Linked DNA regions of Elephas maximus indicus. The protein of the gene in region 1 interacts with the protein of each later gene in a pairwise test. Links are inferred from orthologs where the notes say so. Each region holds a gene or a part of one and is shown on either strand. Other genes may lie near its edges.

Region 1 (7,197 bases):
TGAAATTACACTCATGGGAGAAGCTTCAGCTACATGATAGTGGGAAGCATTCATTTTTATTCAAGAAAAGGACAACTTCTTGGAAAAAACATACCACCCTTCTCTCTCTCACTACATGAAATGAATCCAGTTTGTAGGAATTAACAAATTATAGCCCAGGCAAATACACTGATGCTTAAGCATACCTGAAACTTCAATATATTTATTACAGACATCTTAAGACCCGTAACTCTGCTCTGATCACATCACTTCAGAATCTCAGAGCTGTTCATGATTGTACAGGAAATGGGGAGTACCACAGGCTCACAAAAAACTGACAGAACTCAGTGTGGTACTTCAGGGAAATCAAAACATTGTGTGACATGCAAAAGACGATTCACGAATCACACAAAATATACATTCATTGAGCCATCCATCACGTTAACAACTAAGCTGAAAATACATCATATCCAGCTAAGATAACTGCGAAAGGAAGAAGCTGGTTTGAATACCTTTAGGTTCAGAATAATCCAGCACAAATTTTAAGTGGAGGGGGGCGGCCAGTGAAACAAGAAGGGGAAGGGATGGGGAGACAGCACAGGAAGCCAGGTTTCTGAACCTTGTGCTCTGTAGGCAGACCTTCTTAACTCACTGAAAATGAATTGAGGCTACTCTCTGAAGCATCTGATTGGGTTTAAATGAGAATGTATTCTTTTACCTATAACCACATATAAAATTGTACCAGCTTTGAGTTTGCCCACCCTGTTATAGTCACTTAATCCAAACATTTCTAGAAAATTTGTATAAAGATAAATCTCTCAGGACAAAGTATTTACAACCAGCAAACTCACACACATGAAATTGAATTAAATTAAGGGATGAATTGTGTAAACATGCTCATAGTGCATCTCTTCTTCATGAGCTCCTAGACTCTGTGTGTGTGTGTGTGTATATATATATATAGCCTACCTTTAAGATCAGGGTAGGGGAGGACTAAATATACAGATAAGTAAAAGATGAGAGGCTGTCCTCTGACATGTTTCTGCTGGCAAAGGGAACTATTTTCCAAAGGGGATCCAAAAGAACAGTAGGTTCTGTAAAAATAGAAAAGTGGGTAGAACTGTTAAGGGCCATCAGAAAATTGATGCTGGCACCCGATCTGGATTAAGAAGTTAACCCCCCACAAAGTCTCTGGTCTAGAATGCTCTAGAAACACATTAACCTGGCCAGAAGCTCCCCATATAGGACCAGAAAGGAAGAGAGAGACTGGAACTGGAAAGGAAGGTAAGCTAAGAATGTGCTTTGGGTTAGAAGTCCCAGCCCAAGGAGAAACCTGGACTACAGAGTCTGGGGCTGGGGTGCCCTCAGTGGGAGGTAGTCAGAGTGTCTGAGGTAGAAGACCCCGGGGAAGGAACGCAGGGTGAGGAGCTGGACTTCTCTGAGGATTCCTCGGCTTTCTCATCGCTTCCCGGCGGGGTGGCCGGAGAGATGGGTAAGAGGCCCTCCTTCTCCCGTTTCTTCTGCTTCATTCGGCGGTTCTGGAACCAGATCTTCACTTGGGTCTCGTTGAGCTGCAAGGACGCGGCGATCTCCACCCTGCGAGCTCGCGTCAGGTACTTGTTGAAGTGGAACTCCTTCTCCAGCTCCGTGAGTTGTTTCGTCGTGAAATTGGTACGGACCGCATTAGGTTGACCCACGTAGCCGTACTCCCCAACTTTCCCTGGGGTCAGGATGGAATGCGACGAGAGAAAAAGGTAAGAAAATTAAATCGACATGAGGGACATTTATCCCCTACACGCTTCAGAGCAACATTCAGGTAAAGGAGAGATGAAGAACTTGTGGGCACAAAACGGGCTGGGGAGGGTGAGTGATGAGATGTGAGGCGTTAACCTGAAGTCAACCATCAGTTTGGTCAGACCCCGTGATTAATGGAACCTGAGATATTAACAGAACCCACACTCATTCACTTGCTACTTCCAGAACCTCTCAAACTCAGTCCCTTTGAAAACGCATCCGTCCCAGAAGCTTCCGTGCCCCAACACACCTGGGCAATCTCCTGCCCCACAACACCGGTGTTAAGCAAGAACTTTTTTTTTTTTTTTAAGACCGTTATTAACTTTCCTTGAGAATTAAGCATACCAACCCCTTGTAGTATCATCAAGGAGCATCCATCGGCTGGCAGTAGACTAGGACTGACCTGTTTTGGGAGGGTTTCTTTTGACTTTCATCCAGTCAAAGGTCTGCGCTGGAGAAGATGTCTCCGACGCAGGGGAGCGACAGGCTTCTTGGTGGCTGGCGTGGAGAGGGGACAAGGAGTTATTATACGTGGCCAAGGCCAGGCTCTGGTGCTCCTGTCCATATGAATGGTGAATGTACTGAGGCGAGCCCACTGCGCCCCCAGCATAACCCTGGTGGTGGTGATGATGCTGGACCATGGGAGATGAAAGATTTCCAGAGTAAACAGCGGGAGCGCACGGGGGGTACCCACCACTTACGTCTGCTTCCTGATTTAATGCGTAGGGGCTGTAAGGCGCGCCAAAGTTCTGTGCGCCGTAGCTTGTACTACAACTCGAGTGGGAGTAGGACACCCCCAGGTTCCCAGAAGTCTGGTAGGTGGCCGGCTGGGGGTGGTGGTGGTGGTGGTGGTGGTGGGGTGGGCTGATCTGCACCCCCCGGCCTACTAGGAAGCGGTCGTCGCCGCCGCAGCTGTTGGCACTGACCGCGCACGACTGGAAAGTTGTAATCCCATGGTCCGAGGGGTAGGCTCGCCCTGAGCAGGTCCCCGAATCACCACCGCTGAGGATGGGGTATTCCAGGAAGGAGCTCATTCTTGCATTGTCCATCTGTCACTGAGTGACTGGATCCTGCGACGCCCTGGGTGATCGTGCCAACTTTCTCACTTCCTCCATGGGGCCAGAGAAGAAAAATGATATGAATGTACAGTGAGCGGGAGGGGGGGCGGCGGGAGGGCCGAGGGAGCAAGGGGAGGGGCACGTGACTATGTCAGCCAATGGCTGAGCCTCCTGCGAAATTTTGCAGGCTCCAGCAGTGATGGATCACCGTTTCAGTGGCATTTAAATCCCCGGCGCTCCTCCGCCTAGGTGACGCGCAATCGCCCCCCCAGGCAGCCCAGGCGGCGGCAGCAGCTGCGGTGTCTGCAAACAGCGGATTCGGAGCGCTGGGGCTAAGGGGGGCGGCTGTCTTCAGCGCACGCCCAACTCCGCTCGCCCCCCGTCCTGGAGGTGGGGGCTGGGGGGCATTCCCCGCTCCGTGCCCCTCCCCGTCGTGCACAGGAAGATGAACTGGCAAGAGGTGAGAAGGCGAAAGGGCTCCCGCTCTCTCGGGTCGGGAATCAGTGGGCTGGAACTCGCCGGGCGGCCGCAGGTACGCGGGCCCAGAGCGAAGCGCTCGGAGCCGGAAGGGTAGGCACTGGGCCGGAGCCGCGCCCCAGGATCTCCTAGCGTTTTCACTGTACTGTCCCTGCTGTGGGACCTTGGGGCCGGGAGGAGCGCTGAGAACGATGGCGGAGGCGAAACTGGGCCATCGGATCTCCAAGCTCCAAGCAGAGAGGGAAGTGAGCAGAGAGCTGATTGGGAGGAACCCGGGGTGAGCGTGGAGGGGATGGGGGCAAGAAAAGAAACTCCCCCTTCCCCGGTCGCCGTAGCGGCCTTCCGGCCCCACACCCTCGCCATTAGCATGGCAATGAGGAGCTTCGGTAATTCGACGCCCAGGGGCGGGTGAGCGCTTGCTGCCGAGTTTGCAGGAAAAGGCCTAGGGTGGCGGGGCTCTTCTCCGCCCTTTCTCTCTCCTCGCTCTCCGCCCCTTTCTCCTCCCCACTCAGCTTTGCTCCGGGAGCCCTCCGGGAAACCCAGCAACTCTGCCACTAGATTTTGAGGCGTAGGAGGCGGGGGAAAGAGATGACGCTAGCGGACGTAGCCAGCGTGGTGGTCGGGCCGCGCGCTGCAGGCCATCTGCGGGCTCCCCAGGACCCAGGAGTCTGCGTGCCCGGGCGGGAGCCTCAAAGGGCGGGAGAACCACAGCTCCAAGAAAACATCCCCCCCCCCACCCGCCACCTTCCTCTTTTTTGGAAGGAAAATATTAGGAGTGGGAGAGCCTCCTTTACCCGCCCCCTACATTCTACTGCACGTCAGGGGTGGGGGCTGGCAGGTGGGAGAGGCGGTAGACAGATGGCTGATGGTGGACTGGACACTTGCCTCTTCCCCAGCACCATCTCCTCCCCTTTCCAACTGACTGCGTAGCTGCTTGTATTAGCCATCTAGTCTTTCCCTAGAGAGACGCGTGCAAATCTGAGCGTCATCTCGGGCCAGGGGTCCTGTTCTCCATCACCCTCGTCCTACTCTGATGCTGATGGGGTCGTTAATTGGTGTTTACTATTAGGTTTGGCGACACCCCTGGGCTAGTGGAGAGAAAAGGCCAAACCGAGGCCGAGAACTGATGCATTCTTAGGTAGAAGAAATCTAGAGACCATGCAAGAAGTTTTGCAACCAATGCCCTATAGATTTTACTCTATGTTTACAACATCAAATCCGACAGATGAATTTTTTTGTGAGGATTACATGTGGGTTTGCGTTTCCCACTCTCCTCTTGCTTCCCCTCCCCCAGTTTAAAAGAACTAAGTTTGGTTGAGGTAGGTACATTTCAAAGGTGTTAGTCACCTTTTCAGGCTTCTGTGTTCTGTTCTTCAAATATAGAGACTCCGCCCCCCCCCCGCAAAAAAACCTGCCTCCCCAAGAAGGAAAACCCATGCAGACCTTTGGCTCTGAACTCCTCGTAGCAAAGAGACGTTTTTCCCCCAAACACTTCCTTTTGAAATGGTATTTCTCAGTGATCTTTGACCCTTTCCCATGTGTAGTTAAGAGGGGGCACAGGCAGGAAAGGTAAGATTCAGCTCCCGGGGAACTCGCTCCAGATGCAGCTCTTGGGGAACCTCCTCCAGTAGAAGGGAGTAGGCAGGGCGACCCTCCTGGAAGCGGCTTCCTTCAGAGCGCCAGGCCTTCAGGGGAATGGCGAGAGAAGGCGCCCCTTGGGGAAGGGGGAGGGAGGATCTGTGCTGGCTGTGCGGGCGATCTGCTCTTCAGGCCTAAGCTCCTCAGTACGTTCTCCCCCCGGCCTCATTTCTATACTTCCGTTGGCCTCCTCCGGCCGAGCGTTCGCGAACCCCTCCGTCGCATGGTGCCAGTTACAAAGCCGCCCTCGGCCACAGTCACGCATCCTCCTTTTCTAGCAACCAGGCCTCCGTGCTCCTCTCTCTCCACCTCTCTTCTTCTCTCCTAGCTTCTTTTCGGGGACAGCCTGGGTGGGTTTGTTTTTCTTCCTTTCCTTAGGGTCAGAAGCGTACACTCGCACACAGGCCTGCAGACACACGGGCCGGTGACCATCCCTTCTCTGCGCTCAGCTCCGGTAGGCCGGGCTCTCTAAGCCGAGCGGGCTCCTCCTCTGCCGGCCGCCGGGAGCGCCGCTCTCCCCGGGCGGCTCCCAAAGGCAGCCTCCCCTGGCCTCAAGCCCGTAGGCTTCCGTAGCTCGGTTCCTTCCCTACCTCCCCACCCCCTCCAAGAAATTCTGGGACCCGGTCTACAGGATTGGAAACGCTTGGCCCTCTGGGCTCGCAGGCCAGCGCCCAGCCTCGAGCTAATGTCTTTGAAACGCCCGGGAGGAGTGGGTGAAAGGCGAGCTTGGTCACGATTAAAATAATCTCCCACAGTAGGTTCCCTGGGCTCAAAGCACCTCTTTCAGGGCTCTTCTACTATACAGGGAAGGAGCGAGGAGGAAACAAAACGCCGCCGAGGCCCGGAGCTGTTCAGGGCATCCGCGGCTCAGCCAAGCTGTTGTTTTAAAAGAGCAATAAAAATGAATTATGACTAAACGCCTTCTAACTTAATGCTTTCGGACGGGGATCCCCGGCAAATACGTAAGAGGATTTTTATTTGTGCATGTGTTCCTGCAATTGATCTCTTTGATGACATTCTCATTCATAGAAAGCGGTTGATTTATGAGCATAGGACGAATCGCATCCAGCCGCCGCGCAGCCCTGGCCGGGGCTGAGCCGCCCTGCTCCGCGCCGCGTCTGGGGCCCGGAAACCCGGCGCAATCTCCACACAACCCCGCCGCTGCCGGAATTTAGGGGGTAAAGGGGCGGGGGGAAAGTGGGGAGCAAATGGTTGGAGAAAAATCGCGATTTCATTGTAACTTCCAAGCCTTTGCATTTAAAAGCCGGGTTGGTAAATCAACCGGCACCACACATGTTGCTTACACGCTACATTTTCTCACGGTAAGTAAGTAGCCTGCAGAACAGAGCTCAGAAAGGAAAAAATAAACATGGGAACATGTAAGAAAGGGGAAGAAAAAAAAAAAGAGCAGCCCAATAACACACCCTAGATCATATTTTATTGATGTACCATTTAAAGTGCTTATTTTTTCGTTCTCTAGAAATTGGGTTAATTCATAACCTAGAGTGCAGAAACACACTCCGTTTTAAATCTCGACTTGCTAACCTGGCTTCAAAGCTTTAATGATCCATTATTTGCAATGTAAACAGGTTGAAGAATGAAATATTGATTTTTCTGACCCTGAAAAAAAAGAATACTAGAATGACAGAACCAGAGGATTGAAAAGAACACTTTCTGCAGTGCGCTTTCTAGCTAGTAACCATTGTTTTGTCGTATTTTTGTTTTTAGGTCTGTTTGCCTGAACCCATCAACAGCTGGGAGAGGAATCAACCACTCTGAAAATGTGTGTGTGGGGAGGGGGGGTTGTGGGGGAGGGGCTGGAATGTAGATGTTTTAAACAAACGTGTACAAATAAATGAATTGCTGGTAACTTAGTTATTGACCTGGAGACTGGTAGCTTGTTAAAGAAACTCCACGTTCCTCTTTGCTGGAGTGGGAGGTTTCTGTAGGCACTTTATTTCTCCACTTTGAAAAGCTTCAGTTTGGCCCTTCTCTCTGCCCCATCCTGTTTCTATTGCCCATTCAAATCTGTGGCTAGAACCTCTACGCTGAAACCAAATCTATTCCCTTCAAAACAAAAAACATTTCTCAGAAGCTGTAGCCATATTCTGGCTTTCTTTTGTTATTGTTGATGCTGTCTAAAGAAGACTTTAAACATGCCCCTTAATAAACGTACTAAAATTGAAAAAGAAGATAAATTGTGACTAGAATTTTATTTACCAAGTTAGACTAAAAAGAAGAAAAAGAAACC
Region 2 (7,998 bases), on another chromosome or scaffold:
ATCCTTCGACATGAGCAAACCTGGTGACCCTTACCCTGGTGAGCCTTCAGATGATGCGGCCCTGGCAGACACCTTGTTTGCAGCTGGTTGGAGACCCTGGGCTGGAGGACACAGCTGAACTGAGCCCGGATTCCTGATCCACAGACACTGTGAGATAACAACATTGCTTTAAAGCACTAAGTTTTGGGGGTATTTGTTATGCAACAACAGATAACTAATACAGTCACCATCACTAAAATAATAACAATATTTAGCACTTACCAGTAGTTTATTATGTTCCAGGCACCATAACATGCCTTTTGTATATGTTGCAAGTGAAAGAAAACAGATTAAGCTAGCTTAAGCAAATAGAAATAATATTCTTAAAGTAATACTTTTTTATTTTAGTGAGGTTATTGATCATGTCCACCACCCATCTTTCAGTTTCTCATACTGTGGTGGCTTGCGTGTTGCAGTGATGCTGGAAGCTATGCCACAGGTTTTCAAATACCAGTGAGGTCTTCTGTGGTAGACAGATTTCGTGGAGCTTCCAGAGTAAGATAGATTATAAAGAAAGACCTGGAGATCAATTTCTGAAAATTAGCCAATGAAAACACCAGGGCTTACAGCAGAATATTGTTTAGTATAGTGCTAGAAGATGATCCTCCTAGGTTGGAAGTCACTCGAAATACATAGGGGCCACAACAATGGACTTGAGCATACCCACAACTGTGAAGATGGCACAGGCCTGGGCAAAGTTTCATTCTGTAGTACACTAGGTTGCCATGAGTCAGAGACAACCCAACAGTAAATAATAATAACATTGATCACGTAAATGAAAAATCTAGGTCTTGACCATCAAAGATGGTGAATTGCTCAAGTGATGTCAGGCACTTTCTTTCTGCATCTAACTTCTGGTTCTCAGTGAGCTGGGTTTATTCTTGGCATCCTTTATCCAAGTACGGGTAAAGATATACACACCAAGAACACCACACTTATAGGCTACCAATTTAGCAGACCTAAACAAGCACTTCTTTTCTAACAGATTATCAAAAGTCCTAGGACTGACTCCATTGGGCTGGTTACACGCTTGGCATTGAGCAGTCACTGTAGGCAGAAGGATGGAATTTACCGACAGCCCATGTGTGTGTTGTGTTCACTGACCTGGAGCTGGATACAAGGTTCAAAAAAAAAAAAGAAACCAAACCCGTTGCCGTCGAGTCAATTCCGACTCATAGTGGCCTTATAGGACAGATTAGAACTGCCCTACGAAGTTTCCAAGGAGCACCTGGTAGATTCAAACTCCTAACCTTTTGGTTAGCAGCCATAGCACTTAACCAGTATGCCACCAGGGTTTCCAGGTACAGGGTCAGCCCTATCTAAGTAACAGGGACTGAGAAGGGAATAGACACATGACCCCAAAGAAAACTAGGATGCTGTTATCATAAAAAAGAAGAGGACGTGAATGGTGGATGAGGAAAAAAAAAAAGACATCCACTACATTTCACCTCTAGACAACTCAGTATTGACACACACACTTCTCTTTTTTTTCATATACAACCTTTCAAAAATGTTCCCACTTAACATATCCTACATGAAATTAAAAATGTATTCATCTTATTCCAGGGAAGACAACCTGAAGTCTTTTCCCGTATTGTGTCTGGCTCAAAGTCAAGGGTCATTTAGTGATTTGCAATCCTCGTGGTCTAGTCCACGTGTGGGTCTTTATGGCTGCCAACTCATGGTGCAGTGCTAAATCTACCACCAGCACTCTCAGCACACAATGATGGAGGAGAACAGTTTGGGTCCATGGTACACAGCCAACTCTGCCTCTTTCGTCAGTAGAACAAGTTCCTTGATCCACAAGTCTGAACTAGGACTAACTGCACCATCTCAGAGGTCTCCCTGTCCTGACAAGTCCAGTAACGGCATCTGAGATGAGCATCTGGGAGGATTTCCCTCTCTAGTTTTGAACATCTTTAGCCTCCTTCGCCTAAGGGAAGAACTTTGGTTATGATTTGCCAGTTTTAGAGTTTTTCTGATAGTTCAACTCCATTAGCACTTCACTCCATCTGCTTTCTATTCAAATCCATTTGTTTTCTATCCATCTCTTGAGCTAGTAAAGAAGTCAGAGATTTTCTAGATTAATAGCCCGCTAATCTCTTCTGCTCGGATGCTTACATGTCTTAGATACAAGCCTCTGAACTCTGTAAACTCCACTGACTGTTTAGAAAATGCCCTTTTACCTGGGGTAATGCATAACAGTGGCCTAATGTCGGGGAGACAGAGCTCTCATCTGTCAGCACGATAGGCAGCTCTTTATAGGAAATGGACCAGAAGTGCTTGGGAGGGGCCTAAGGATTCAGTTTTTTCCAGTTTCCCACATTTTCTCCTTCTTTGTTTCTAGCCATGCTCTCACTACCATGAACACTAGCTTGATCCACATTCCTTCTTCTGCATGTGGAAATCTAGTTGTCCCCGCACCATTTGTTGAAAAGGCTTCTTTCCCCATTGAATGGACTTGGCACTTTGTCAAAAATCAATTTGCCAAAGAAAGACACTTAGAAGAACACAAGGAAAAAAAAAAAAAAAAACAACCACAGCTAATACCATAGCATATACAACTGTACAACAACAGTAAAAACAAATGAAAATTTACAAGCGGATACATAAGATATTCATATATATAGTAAAGCCCAAAGGTGGCACAGTCATAAAAGCCTCCCAGACACAACCAAACATCTTGAGGAGCCAACTTACTGGTGCTGAGGGCTGAGGACCATGGTCTCAGGTAACATGTAAGTCAATTGCCATAACATAGTCCATAAAGAAAATGTTCTGCATCCTACTTTGTTGAGTAGTGTCCGGGGTCTTAAAAGCTTGCAAGTGGCCATCTAAGATACATCTATTGGTCCCATCCTATCTGGAGCAAAGGAAAATGAAGAAAACCAAAGACACAAGGAAAATATTAGTCCAAAGAACTAATAGACCACAATTACAACAGCCCCCACCAGTCTGAGCCCTGAAGAACTAGTTTCCAGCTACCACACAGACCACTCTGACAGGGATAACAACAGAGGGTCCTGGACAGAGTGGGAGAAAAATGTAGACCGAAATTCAAATTCACACACACAGAGACAAAATAGACTTACCGATCTGATAGAGACTGAAGGAAGCCCTCGGCCTATGGTCCCAGACACCCTTCTAACTCCGAGCTGAAGCTAAGCCCAAAGTTCATTTTTCCAACGAAGATTAGACAGGCCTGTAAGACAAACAACAGCACATGCGAGGAACATGCTTTTTAGATCAATGAAATACAAGAGACCAAAAGGGGTAACGCTGGCCCAAAAACAAAGATGAGAAGGCGGAAAGGGACAGGAAAACTGAACGAATGGAAACGGGGAACCTGGAGTGGAAAAGAGGAGAGCGCTGACCCATTGTGGGGATTGCAACCAATGTCATGAAATGATTTGTGTATAAACTTTTGAATGAGAAACTAATCTGCTATGTAAACTTTTATCTAAAGCACAAATTAAAAAAAAAGCAATTTGCCATATATTTTGACCAAAGACTCTACAGAAGAGTCTTGATCAAAAGGGTGAAAATGCAGAACATAATTTCAAATTCTCATGAAATCCAGACTTTCTAGAGCCATGGCGGCTGGATGAACCACCAAAATTCTTGCCCTGAGATAATTTTTAAACCTTAAACCAAAACTATCCCCTGAAGTCTTTTTAAAACCAAACAGTAGTTTATCTTAACAACTATCCTTACAGCAGTACCGTGCTCTTTTGATTACTGTGATTTTATAGTACCTTTTGAAATTGGAAAAGTGTGAACCCTCCAACTTTGTTCTTCTTTTTCCAGGGTTGTTTTATTTTGTTTTTTTGGCTTTTCTGGGTACCTTGCAATTCCATAATAATGTTATGATCAGTTTGTCCATTTCTGTAAAAAGGCAGCTAGGATTTTCATATTAATTGCTATAAATCTGTACATTAATTCGGGAGTCCCAGGCACTTCCATAAAAGAAAAATTTCTTCAGCTCACAGTCCCCAGTAATCAACAGGTGGAGCCCTTACCTTTGTGCACCTTAAACCCCACAGAGTTACTTGGCCATTAGTCACATCGTAGAGAAATGTGTTATGTGCTGTGCTTTTTTCACTCCATTTAATATTCTCATATTTATAAAGGAAACCCTGGTGGAATAGTGGTTAAGAGCTACAGCTGCTAACCAAAAGGTCAGCAGTTCAGATCTACCAGGCGCTCCTTGGAAACTCTATAGGGCAGTTCTACTCTGCCCTGTAGGGTCGCTATGAGTCGGAATTGACTCAACGGCAACGAGTTTATATTTATAAAACACTTTACAAATATAAAGTATGGTATTAGAAGCTAATTCTTGGTTTCATCATTAGGTGACTAGTTACCACATAAGAAAATCACCTTGACTAATTTTACATGATGTAAGTAAAAAAAAAAAAAAAAAAATTTTTTTTTTTTTTTTTAAGTAAAAGGCGTAACAATGCTTGGGCTTAAGTTTAGAATATGAATTTAAGATTAGTTTCTAGCTGCAAAATTGGCTGCTATTAAAATGATCTTTTAGGAAACCTAAAAAATTAGGCTGAGCATCTGCCTATCAATTGCATAGCCCAAGATTGTCAAGTACAATTTCCTCACACACATTACTAATACAGAATTTTGTCAAGCAATCTCTGTCTGTCTTTATCGTTATACCCTCAGCTGTATATCACTAGAATCAGTTACTTCAGCAGGTTTGAATTATGAATGCATTCCCGCCTTTAGGGGGCAGTCATGGTAAACCCAGACATTCAAAGTAAGAGGTTCTGCACCAGCAATGAGGACTAAAGATCTGTGGTTAAGCTACTGATCCATAAATAGATAATCCTTTTGCTTTGACTACTGCAAATTTCCAAGAAGGCTGCCAGCAGACTGAGAAATGCCTTAGCGTTAGCCAAAGGAAGAGAAAGAAAGGGAATTCTGCCCTGTTGTTTTTATTAAAACATGCCCAGCCTTTTCCAAGACAACCAAGAGGGCCTTCAGAAACACTGTTCCAGGTCATCTACGTGGAAGTTTTTGCCCTTGTTTAGGGCTGAAGGATATAATGCAACCATCCACCGAACCCCAGAACACGAAGAGGACACCAAAGCTGTGCATCACTTCAAGGTAAGATGACCTCTTTACAATCCATGATTCTTTCTTGACAAGGAGGAGGATTTATCCAGAAAGAACATAAAATCATAAACAAGCTTGAGTGCCATTGCTCACTTGATTTTACTGAAGGTTTACCACCAGGGGAAAACTATATTCGTGATGACAATTACCTGATACGTCCAGTTTTCTTCAACCTCAGCAGCGTGCGTTTATCAAGGCAAGCCGTTACTCGTTGCTTTTTTGTTTTGGGAGATGCTGTTTTTCAAAGCAGAAAACCTAGCCATAGATTGGGTGGCTATTGATATTAACCCTTGGATATTTTTCTCTGATGTAAAGATTTTATCCTATGTAGTAATGAATGAAAAAATGTATACTGCTTTTTATAAAGACTGCTAGAGAACAAAGTCAATAGACTGATACAAGAACATAAGAACATTAAGGAGTTAAGAGGATTTTTTTTTTTTTCTAAATTCCAAGTAATTCCTAAGACAGCATGACTTTCTACCATTAGACAGATGATGACCCCAAAGAGTGGCAATTTTACTGCTCAATGTAGTGTGTGTCTTGTGGAAAGCACCATTTAAGTCTGTAAATCCTCTTAGCTATTAATAGAACCAAAGGGTTATTTTGGTGTGGAGGGGGGATGCCCAGGTGTTAGTGTCTAACAAATAATGGTCAGAGCTAAAAGTTAAACGCTGCAAAATTAGACCACAGCAAAGGGTAAAGCATTCACTTTAACACTAAAAATTCATTTGCCCTTGTGCTGTGGCTCATATCCCAACGATAATCATTCTTTATTTGCAGACGCTATTTAATTCTCTTGATCTGCCTCTTCCCCTGATGTTATTTTAACTAATTGGCACAAGCAGAAAAAAAAAACAAGTTAGAAAAAATTTTTTTAATTATGTGGAGGTCTTTTATGTGTTTTTGACCTTTCAAATATACGTGAATTAACAAAGTCACATGAATTTCCATGCCACCCTTATTATCACTGTGGAAAAGAAATGCCTAATAAACTGCTTCCATAAAGATTATAGCTAAGAAAGTCCTGTGGAACAGTTCTACTCTGTAACACATGGTGTCTCCATGAATCAGGGCTTAACAACAATCAACAAACTATTATCCTATTATCAAGTAACTAAGCACTAGGACTTGAAGAAACCAGAATGAAATAGGATCTAGTGACCGAAAGTCCTTAAGTGATGGGCATCTAAATGTAGGCAAGATGTGCGCTGCTGCTGTATGGTGCTGCCGAGTTGGTTCAAATTCATCACCACCCTATTTACAAGAGAACAAAACACGGCCCGGTGCTGCACCACCCTCACAATCATTGCCGTGTTTGAGCCTGTTGTTGCGGCCGCTATGACTCTCTACCTCGTTGAAGATCTTCCTCTTTTTTGCTGACCTTCTGCTTTACCAAGCATGATGTCCTTCCTGATAACACGTCCGAAGTACATGAGACAAATCTTGCCATCCTAGCTTCTAAGGAGCATTTTGGCTGTACTTCTTCTAAGACAGATTTGTTTGTTCTTCTAGCAGCGCATGGTATGCTCAATATTCTTCGTCAACACCAAAGCTCAAAGGCATCAGCTTTTCTTCAGGCTTCTTTATCCACTGTTCAGCTTTTGCATGCATGTGAGGGGACTGAAAATATCACAGCTTGGGTCTGCCACAGCTTAGTCCTCGAAGTGACATTTTGCTTTTCAACACTTTAAAGAGGTCTTTGCAGCAGATTTTCCCAGTGCAATAGGTAGTTTGATTTCTTGACTGCTGCTTCCATGGGCATTTATTGTGGATCCAAGTAAAATTAAACCCTTCACAATTTCAACCTTTTCTTCATTTATCATGATGTTGCTCACCAGTCCAGTTGTGAAGATTTTTGTTTTCTTTATGTTGAGGTGTAATCCATACTGAAGATAGTTGTCTTTGATCTTCATCAGTAAGTGCTTCAAGCCCTCTTCGCTTTCAGCAAGCAAGGTTGTGGCATCTGCATAACACAGGTTGTTAATGAGCCTTCCTCCAACCGTGATGCCATGTTCTTCCTATAGCCCAGCTTCTCAGATTATTTGTTTAGCATACAGTTTGAATAAGTATACTGAAAGGATACAACCCTGACCCACACCTTCCCTGATTTTAAACCACACAGTATCTTCTTCTGTTCAAACAACTGCCTCTTGATCTACATACAGGTTCCTCATGAGCACAATTAAGTGTTCTGGGATTCCCATTCTTCTCAATGTTATCCATAATTTGTAATGATCCACACAGTTGAATGCCTTTGCATAGGCAGCAAAACACAAGTAAACATCTTCCTGTTATTCTCTGCTTTCAGCTAATACCCATCTGACATCAGCAATGATAGCCTTCATTCCGCATCCTCTTCTGAATCCTGCTTGAATTTCTGGCAGTTCCCTGTCAATGTACCGTGGCAACCATTTTTGAATTGTCTTCGCAAAATTTTACTTGTGTGTGATATTGATGATATTATTCGATAATTTATGCATCCTGTTGGATCACCTTTCTTTGGAATGTGCACAAATATGTATCTCTTCCAGTCGGCTGGCTAGGTAACTATCTTGCAAATTTCTTGGCATAGACGTGTAAGCACCTCCAGCGCTGCATCCATTTGTTGAAAGATTTCATTTGGTCTTCTGTCAATTCCTGGAGCCTTGTTTTTCACCAATTCCTTCCGAGCAGCTTGGACTTCTTCCTTCGATGCCGTCAGCTCTTGATCATAAGCTACTTCCTGAAATGGTTGAATGTCAACCAATTCTTTTTGGTACAATGACTTGTTATTCCTTCCATCTTCTTCCTGTATCCTTCAATATTTTGCACATAGAATCCTTCAAA

The links.
Region 2: the proteins of HOXA1 (region 1) and RGS20 interact in binary tests that used the Homo sapiens proteins (3 or more experiments, as listed by UniProt). The two-hybrid records come from large-scale screens. The link is inferred for Elephas maximus indicus from reciprocal best matches to the Homo sapiens genes HOXA1 and RGS20.

Annotation. Positions count from the first base shown.
Region 1 is NC_064826.1:88,263,928-88,271,124, forward strand, and holds HOXA1 (homeobox protein Hox-A1), read right to left. Parts: upstream 2,884-7,197; 5' UTR 2,823-2,883; coding exon 2,177-2,822; intron 1,700-2,176; coding exon 1,344-1,699; 3' UTR 507-1,343; downstream 1-506. UniProt on the Homo sapiens protein: Sequence-specific transcription factor. Regulates multiple developmental processes including brainstem, inner and outer ear, abducens nerve and cardiovascular development and morphogenesis as well as cognition and behavior.
Region 2 is NC_064833.1:86,221,022-86,229,019, reverse strand, and holds the start of RGS20 (regulator of G-protein signaling 20), read left to right. Parts: upstream 1-4,998; coding exon 4,999-5,147; intron 5,148-7,010; coding exon 7,011-7,029; intron 7,030-7,998. UniProt on the Homo sapiens protein: Inhibits signal transduction by increasing the GTPase activity of G protein alpha subunits thereby driving them into their inactive GDP-bound form.